2 linked regions of the Saccharomyces cerevisiae S288C genome follow. Changing the gene in region 2 together with the main gene of any one other region gives a genetic interaction. Each region holds a gene or a part of one and is shown on either strand. Other genes may lie near its edges.

Region 1 (3,674 bases), on a different chromosome or scaffold from region 2:
TAAATAAAAACGTTGTTTCTGATAAGTTTGTCCAGTTGGCAATTGCCTGCAATTCTTCTTGACTGACTTCATTTTCATCAATTTCCAAGAAGTTTATTACTGCTACTGGATTTCCCATAAAGGGCTTCTCAGTGAATACATCAACTTGTTTGAAAGGTACCATTAAAGTCATATTCTAAGCGCTTGGTTTTTTTTATCTTATCTTCCTTGTGTCATATTTAGACATTTAGTTTAGTATTCTAGGTGCTTAAATAATGAATATTGTCTATAGATGACTAATCATAAATGAACGAAAAGAAAGAATTCAAGAGGCGATAACAAACTTCCGCGGAGTACGATTAAGATAAGCGTCGGAGGAGGAATTTGATATACGAGCTACAACAAGAGCACGTATATATATATATATTTGTATACGTTCATATACATCATATATACACATTGTCTGTAAGCTTACATCTATGGTGATTCTATACTTCCCCGGTTACTTATAGTTTTTTGTCCTAAAAATATTTTCTATCTAATCCAAACTCCAGCTCTTTTTCAAGGTCTAGAAGCGTGCCGTTATCATTCTGAGGCGGAATATCTGCGGTATTTCCAGTGGCAGGTCTCATCTCCATCATACTCTCTTGAGGTCGAGGTGGGAAATCTGCATCATGCCTTGGCAAATTTTGGGAGTGAATACCAAATGATTCTTGTTGTGGCGCAACAGAATTAGACGTGGCCATCTGTTTTGGATAATTTTCTTCACTCGCTGCGGCGTTGCCATTATCCACATCTGAAGGCTGCTGTTGCTGTTGCTGTTGCTGTTGCTGCTGCTGTTGCTGCTGCTGTAATTGTAATTGCCTTTGCTCTTCTAATAGCGGTTGTCTCACAAACAGCCTGAAATCTTGCACTTCTTGTATAACCATTTGTTTTAAGTCCTCCATATCATTAACCGATTCAAAACTAAATTCGAATTTTTCACTACACACAGGTTCGTCAGCTGGATCATGCCATATAGACAAGTAAGGATGCTCCAGGGCCTCATCCACGGTAATTCTCTTTTGAGGGTCAAACGCGAGCATTTGCTCCAATAAGTCTAATGCTTGTGAATTGGCATTTGGGTATAAATTGACAAAAGGTACTTTTGGAATGAAACCTAATTGATGTATGTAGTCCTGAACATTTTTAGAACCAATCCTTCTTAAAGTTTCGTCTGGGGGTGTCCCTAAAACTTGTAATATTTGATTCAATTGATTAACGTAATCCTTTCCTTTGAAGATTGGCTTTCCACCAAGAAACTCCGCTAAAATACAGCCAGCTGACCATACGTCAATCGCCTTGGTATATCCTTGGTAACTCAACATTATTTCCGGAGCTCTATACCATCTAGTGGCCACGTACTCCGTCAAAAATTGACTGTTTTCGACAGGATTCTCCGAATAACCTCTAGCTAACCCAAAATCACAGATTTTCAATTGACAATCTGCATTGACAAGCAAATTGCCGGGCTTCAAATCACGATGCAAGACATCTGCAGAATGAATATACTTTAAACCACATAATATTTGGTATGTGAAACTTTGATAGTGAGCATCCGTCAAAGGTTGACCGGATTTGATGATTTGGTGCATATCACATTCCATAAGTTCCTCATAAAGATATAGTCCATTGATAGACCCGTCTGGATAAAAAACAATATCCATATCATAAAGACATGTAATATTTTTGTGGCCTCTGAAATGTCTCAAAAGCTTTAGCTCACGTAGGGATCTTTTACATAGTAAGGTCTTCGAAAAAACGTTTGTCACTTTCTTGATGGCAACTGTGGTATCTTCGGCAGCTTCTGCAAACCGCGCTGAACACACTATGCCGTATGCTCCATGCCCTATTTCTTTGATAAGTTGAAACCTCTTATCTACACTGAAATCTTGATTGAAGACCTTGAAAGTATGCCTCTCTATCTTATCAGCCATCTCCCAGAATTGTTATACACGCCCTTCAATTATTTCTACTATTTTGATAGCTTCAATAAGAAAATCTGTGGCCTAGATTTGCTGACTGAATGCACAGTTCGTCTAATATATATATATATCTGGCAGACCAGGGTCTTCAATTAAATCTAAATATTTGTGTAGGATCTGATTTCCCTCACTTTTTTTTTCGATATATTCCTGGCTAGATCTCCTTTTTCAGTTTCTATTTTTAACACTGAAACTTTCCATTCTGCCAACATTTCGCAGTCTTCTATAAAAAAAAAAAAAGATAATATAAAAATCGCCGCATACGTAGGCTTAGCTAAATAGATGGCTTCTAGATGAATATTTCGGGATTCTGTTAAATTATACAGATAGGCTCACAAGTATTCGAACCTGTATAGAACAAGAAAAGAAAACTTCAACTAGAGTATATGCATTTATTCGTTGCAAGTCATTTCAAAGTTTCTAAACGTTTATAGAAATCTTTTACTCTTTCATTGGTGCGAATCTTTCCTGGATCAAAGTTTAGGACCTGTAAGGTGTCCATAGTTACCGCTCTTGACAGTGCAACATAAACTTGGCCGGCTTCGAAAATTCTCCTCAAGTCGACCTTTAGTCTTTGAATAGTTTGACCCTGTGCCTTATGAATGGACAGTGCCCAGCATAGCATTAATGGAATCTGAGTTCTTTCTAACCCGACATTTTCTCTGGGAATATCAATGGGAAAGCGCTCTGGGACCATGAGCTCATGTATGTACTTGTTTTTACCCACTGTCCACCTCACATAGGGGAATTTTTCCTTATGCGGAGAGATCTTAACTGCATAGTTTATCAAGATTTTCAAACGTTCCAATCTAGCTAATGGCCTGGCATTCAAATCTTGACGAAACTCCTTTGATTCCTTTAACAAGGGATTACCAATGACCCGACTCACTAATCTCATGTCCATGACAACTTCGTCATCCACAATCTTGTAAATTTCCTTCATTTTCACCACCAGCGATTCTGTAACAAAAAACAAAACTTTTCCCAATGATCCATTAACTAATTCTACATCAGGCTTATTTTTCAACATCATTACCTGTGCATCTTCCTTCAATGCGACAACTTTTTCCACCATTAATGAAGAATCTAGTATCGCTTGGTATCTCTCGGGCGCGTTATCTACAGCTTTAAACTCATATAAATCACCAGGTAGAGACTGTAATTTCTTTACGTTGGATAGTTCAACTTCTCTTCTTGTGGCATACAGTTCTGTAGGAGCAATTCCATCGGCATAGTCTATATCCCTATTTAGGTTCCTTATTGTTTTAGCAATGTCGACAGTCAGCTCTCCGTATCTTATGGCATTTAGAATATCAATTAGTTTGTTATCCTGTTGTCTGAAAACCTTTGTCAGTAAAATCGTTTTTTGAATGCACCGTTTCCACATTTCACTTTCAAAACAAAATTTCACAACGTTATGCTCGTCCTTCTTAGCAACTGGTGGTAGTTGAAAAAAATCGCCTGTCAGGACCAATTGAATACCACCAAAGGGATCGTCGTTCTTCCGAATTCTCCTTGCGATTTGCTCTAATTTATCCAACAGATTACCATCGACCATAGAAATTTCATCAATTATCAAAACTTTTGTATACCTCCATGCGGCCAATAAGTCCTTTTGTGATTGTATTTTTTTCACCAATTGGTCGATAGTTTTGTTCCCGATTCCTATAC
Region 2 (5,176 bases):
AAAATACTGGTGAAGCCAATAATGATGTATTGGAAGAGGAAGCAGCGATTCAGTTGATTGCACCAGGTATAGCGAGAAACTTAACACAAGAAGTCATTACCGGTATCTTCTGTAATGTAGTAATATATCCTCTTCTTCTAATATATTTTGTCTTAACTTTCCGTTACATGACTACAAATATTGTACCTTATGAATTTATAGATGAAAAGTTTCACGTTGGCCAAACTTTGACCTATTTAAAAGGTAAATGGACTCAATGGGACCCTAAAATAACAACCCCCCCTGGAATCTATATTTTGGGTTTAATTAATTATTATTGTATAAAGCCCATATTCAAGTCGTGGAGCACACTAACCATACTAAGATTAGTTAATTTACTTGGAGGGATTATCGTTTTCCCCATTTTAGTACTCAGGCCAATATTCCTTTTTAATGCCTTAGGTTTTTGGCCCGTTTCATTAATGAGCTTCCCATTGATGACAACTTATTATTACTTATTTTACACCGATGTGTGGTCTACAATTCTGATATTGCAATCACTCAGCTGCGTGTTAACATTACCGTTTGGCCCCGTGAAGAGTATATGGTTGAGTGCTTTTTTTGCTGGTGTAAGCTGTCTCTTCAGACAAACGAATATCATTTGGACGGGATTTATAATGATTCTTGCTGTTGAACGCCCAGCCATTTTACAAAAACAGTTCAACACGCATACGTTCAATAACTATTTGAAATTATTCATTCATGCTATTGACGATTTCTCCAACCTTGTTCTGCCCTATATGATAAATTTTGTTTTGTTCTTCATTTATCTGATTTGGAACAGATCCATAACACTAGGTGATAAGTCCAGCCACTCAGCAGGCCTGCATATAGTACAAATATTCTATTGTTTCACATTCATCACCGTTTTCAGTTTACCTATATGGATATCTCGTAATTTTATGAAGTTGTACAAATTAAGAATAAAACGGAAGCCAGTACAAACTTTTTTTGAATTTATTGGTATTATGCTAATCATAAGATACTTTACAAAAGTTCACCCATTTTTGTTAGCAGATAATAGACACTACACGTTCTACCTCTTCAGAAGATTGATAGGCAACAAAAGTAGACTAATCAAGTACTTTTTTATGACACCAATCTATCATTTCTCCACTTTCGCATACCTTGAAGTGATGAGACCCAACCAGCTCACCTTTCACCCCATCACTCCACTCCCCATCAAAGAACCTGTACATTTACCCATACAACTGACACATGTATCGTGGACGGCCTTAATAACGTGCACCATGGTAACTATCGTTCCATCACCCTTATTCGAACCTCGTTACTATATATTGCCCTATTTCTTTTGGAGAATATTTATTACCTGCAGCTGCGAACCTTTGATAAAGGATTTAAAACCTGCTAAAGAAGGCGAAAACCCAATTACCATAAGCAGTACGAAAAGACTGTTCATGGAATTTTTATGGTTCATGCTCTTCAATGTCGTTACTTTAGTTATCTTTTCCAAGGTCTCATTTCCTTGGACCACTGAGCCCTATTTGCAAAGAATAATATGGTGAACAGAATTGATTATAGTTGCAAAAAGACGTTCTATAAATGTTTACTAGTAGTATTTATTTTCTTTTTTTATTTCCATCTTTTAGTGGCCAACCGTTTTGTATATATTGATTTTTCTTCGTAGTGGCCTCAAACCGTTTGAGCCACTTAATGGCAAATGATAGCGAACTTTCTCCTGCTTTTAGGAATACTCTTATAGACATAATGCATTGATTTCCACGAACGTTCATGGTTGGTAAACGTAAGGGAATTGTGCTATATATATATATATATATATATGATAATATTGTATAAATTTCTTAAGGTTGAAACCTACCTAGAACAGTTTAATAGAAATAAATATTGTCCAAATTTCTTTTTGGTTGTAGAATGTTAATTGTGATATTTCATAAAGCTATATTTTCAAATTCTTCTCTCGCTTCTTCCACTTTAGCATCATCACTTCTTATTTCATTTTCTTCCTTTTTGTTCATTTCTTCTGTTTGCTTATTTACATCATCGTCTTTTTTTGCTGATTCTGTGACATGTTCGTTTTCAACGTGTTCTTTTTCTTCAACCTTTGGTTGCTTTTCGTCTTCTTTCCTCTCGCTTTCTTGTTTAATGTCTACATTATCAGCTTTGATTTCATGCTCTGCTTGTCCAAGGCTTTCTGTATTTACAGTTGTAGTCTCCGCTTCGCTAGGTTCTGTTTTCACAATTTTGACAGATTCGTGATCTTGAACAGATTGTACATCTGCACTACCACTATCTTCGCCCTTTATGGATTCTGCGTTGAGGGTAGAAGGCTGTTCAGCTGCCACTTTCTTTTGCGAGGCAGGCACGTATTTCTGCTCCTGCAAGGATGTGTCAGGTTGAGATTTTTGCTGTTGTGATCTCAAGTTTTCTTGATACTTGATCCACGTTCTTCTTTTTAAAACTTCGAAATAATCTTGTATAGGACCATTAGATTTCTTATCCCTGAAGACCAATTCACCATCACCGCTAAAGTAGTCGTCATTGTCATCTACTAAATACCAATTACCAGCTTCCAAATCGTTGGCAAACGATAACAGAAATTCACCCCAATTTTCAGCAATGACAAATTTCGTATCGAAGTCCCTCCCAAATGTTATAATTTGAGCATATTTACCATTTGGACCAGGCGCCAAGTCAACACCGATATGGTTACCGGCATTGTCCGTTATTAAAGGAATCCAAGCAGGATGTGCATATACCGGTTGCACTGCATTTGGAGGAATAGATTTTTGATCTGGGATATTTGGCAGTTTGAACTTGTTACCATTTAGTCTTTCCATAGATGAAGAAGAGCCAGTAGATGTAACATGGGATAAACCTTGTTGAGATCTTTTGTTTAGGTTCTTTGCGACGTTTCTCCAGGCCTGAGTCATAGCTACAACCTGATCTAGTGTCATTAGTTGGAAGCCATAAAACAAGCCAGAAGTACCGGTCATCGATTCTAAATCTTCTTGGCCATCATGAATTTTGAAAGACGCTTTTACTGGGTTGGGAAAGCTAACTTCCAAGTCTTCCTCTGCGTGAGTGATATCGTTTTGGGTGCAAGGATCACTCAAAGTTGCATTTAAATCTGGATTATGTTCACTGGTCCAAAAATCGATGTGTCTCCAAGCTAAGAGGGTTTCAGAGACACCATCGTTTGACTCCGTGGACGTAAATTCATCAATATTTATGTCTTCATTAGATGGCACGCCATTTTGAAATCCCATGCTCATTTCCTCATCTACACTATTCAAATGCATTTGAGAGGGATTTACCTGACCATTGTTGCTGTTTAAACGTTTACCCATGTTAAAAGTAGGCGTTTCATCGGGGTTATACTCTGCATAATGGTCGTCAGTGCTGAGGGAGTATACCCATTCTTTAACTTTTCTTTTGAATAGATCCATTTTATACTAAAAAATTCTGCCAAGTTGTCGCCTATAGAACGAATGTGCGTTTATTTTGTATTTTCTTTGCGTATTGATAGTATAGCTAGTCCTTGTATATTTTCAATTTTTCGATAACTTTAGTCGAACACGAAAAAAAATAATTAGCGGATTTAATTTTGTACCTTTATTTTCAACAGGCTTGATTCTTGAATGGCGTATTTGCAAATATTTCAATATTGAGAGAAGCTAAAATTTCTAAGAATGGACTTGCGTTTGAAGATTGCGTAGCAGCGCAAAGAATTGATTAAAATGTAATTTACTCTGGAAAGAAAACACAACCTTTTCAGTTGCGGTGCAAAAACATTCTTTTGATCTCGAAGTAGGAAAACTGACATTAGAAAAAGAAAAAAAAAACAATCTGCGAATTATGCATTTCTTTTTTTCGCTTTTTTATTTTCTTTTTTCTTTTTTTCGACCTCCAATAGGGCTTTGGAAGCCCTATATGTAATCTAGGGTAATGACATATGTCACGTGCTTTAGGGCTTGGTGCCTTTATTTTTATGATTATGTGACAAGGATCTAAGGGGGTTTTCCAGATACGGGAAAAAATAAATAGTAGACTATCCTAAAAAGGAATGTAATTAACTTATGATGTACAAACGGTGGTGCAATGCATGTTAAGCCCTGCAGGTAAATGGATCAGTGCGGAGTACGCATCTTTTGCGATGTTCCCATGTAGATTGGAGCCTCTCTGCTTCGTTCTAACTCTCCTCCGTTGTCATAAAGGCCTGCGATTAGTAAGGTGGAAGGTATCTGAAGTTAATGCTAGGATTTCAAATGTATACCTTTTTATTCTCTTGAACAAATAACGAAATCCTCTACAAAAGGTTTCTATTGAAAGTTCCCAATAAGCAGCAAATTCTTCTTCCTCTACTTATCTGTGATTTTTTTTTAAAAAAAGTTAATCAGAGGCTACTACATCATTGCGCTAAAAAAAAGTAACAGATTTGCGATGTCATACGGCGGATCGGCATCCCAAGATATAGTGACAAAATTGATTAGAAAAATCCAAAATACGTCTGTGTCTTGCACCAGGAGGGATGAAAATCTAGATTCTTTTAATCAACACTTGAAAATGAGTCTTAAAGTTGCGCATAACACGAAGACATTTGCAAAGCATTGCCTTCATCGACAAGTATTCAAGAATACGTATCGGAAAAGAAAAGCAGTGGAAGATCAAAGGAAAAACTTGAACACGCAACTTAGGCAAAAATTTGCGTCGCCGTCAGACAATTTGCTTTCACCATGCTCTAGAAAACTGAATGATCACAAGTCAAAACTTTTCTCAGCCAAATCGCAACCCAAAACACTGGAGTTTGTGCGGGGCAAACAGAATATACCACGCAAGCCGAATGTAGACATTTAATTTAACGGATGATGATCATAAATTGGCCTATTTTTTTGCTGTATGTGTTACATATTATACTATATACGTTCTCCAACAATACAAGATGATACGGGGTAATACTCCTTATTCTTATTCTAGAAGACATACAAATATTTATGTTTTACGCATCGCTTTCTTTCCCTTTATTTTGTATTCACAAGTATATGGCATCTTAACATTGTTACTCAATTCTTAAAGATAATATCTAGCCTTCGCTATTTATTTGCCCCTTCCATCGATTCTTGCATCCACTACGGTATTTAGCAACAATGCTTCATTA

What was found. Genes that interact genetically often act in the same process or in processes that back each other up.
Region 1: mutations in SMI1 (region 2) and SLT2 are lethal when combined (synthetic lethality), as found in Saccharomyces cerevisiae (8 studies listed by BioGRID, with this or other methods).

What each region holds. Positions count from the first base shown.
Region 1 is NC_001140.6:168,390-172,063, forward strand, and holds SLT2 (mitogen-activated serine/threonine-protein kinase SLT2), read right to left. Parts: upstream 1,956-3,674; coding exon 501-1,955; downstream 1-500. Other genes in the region: YHI9 (Yhi9p), read right to left, coding at 1-172; RRM3 (DNA helicase), read right to left, coding at 2,410-3,674. UniProt on the Saccharomyces cerevisiae protein: Serine/threonine protein kinase involved in a signal transduction pathway that plays a role in yeast cell morphogenesis and cell growth.
Region 2 is NC_001139.9:947,433-952,608, forward strand, and holds SMI1 (Smi1p), read right to left. Parts: upstream 3,468-5,176; coding exon 1,950-3,467; downstream 1-1,949. Other genes in the region: DIE2 (dolichyl-P-Glc:Glc(2)Man(9)GlcNAc(2)-PP-dolichol alpha-1,2- glucosyltransferase), read left to right, coding at 1-1,565; OTO1 (Oto1p), read right to left, coding at 1,620-1,793; BNS1 (Bns1p), read left to right, coding at 4,462-4,875; prohibitin subunit PHB2, read right to left, coding at 5,116-5,176. UniProt on the Saccharomyces cerevisiae protein: Protein involved in the regulation of cell wall assembly and 1,3-beta-glucan synthesis, possibly through the transcriptional regulation of cell wall glucan and chitin synthesis.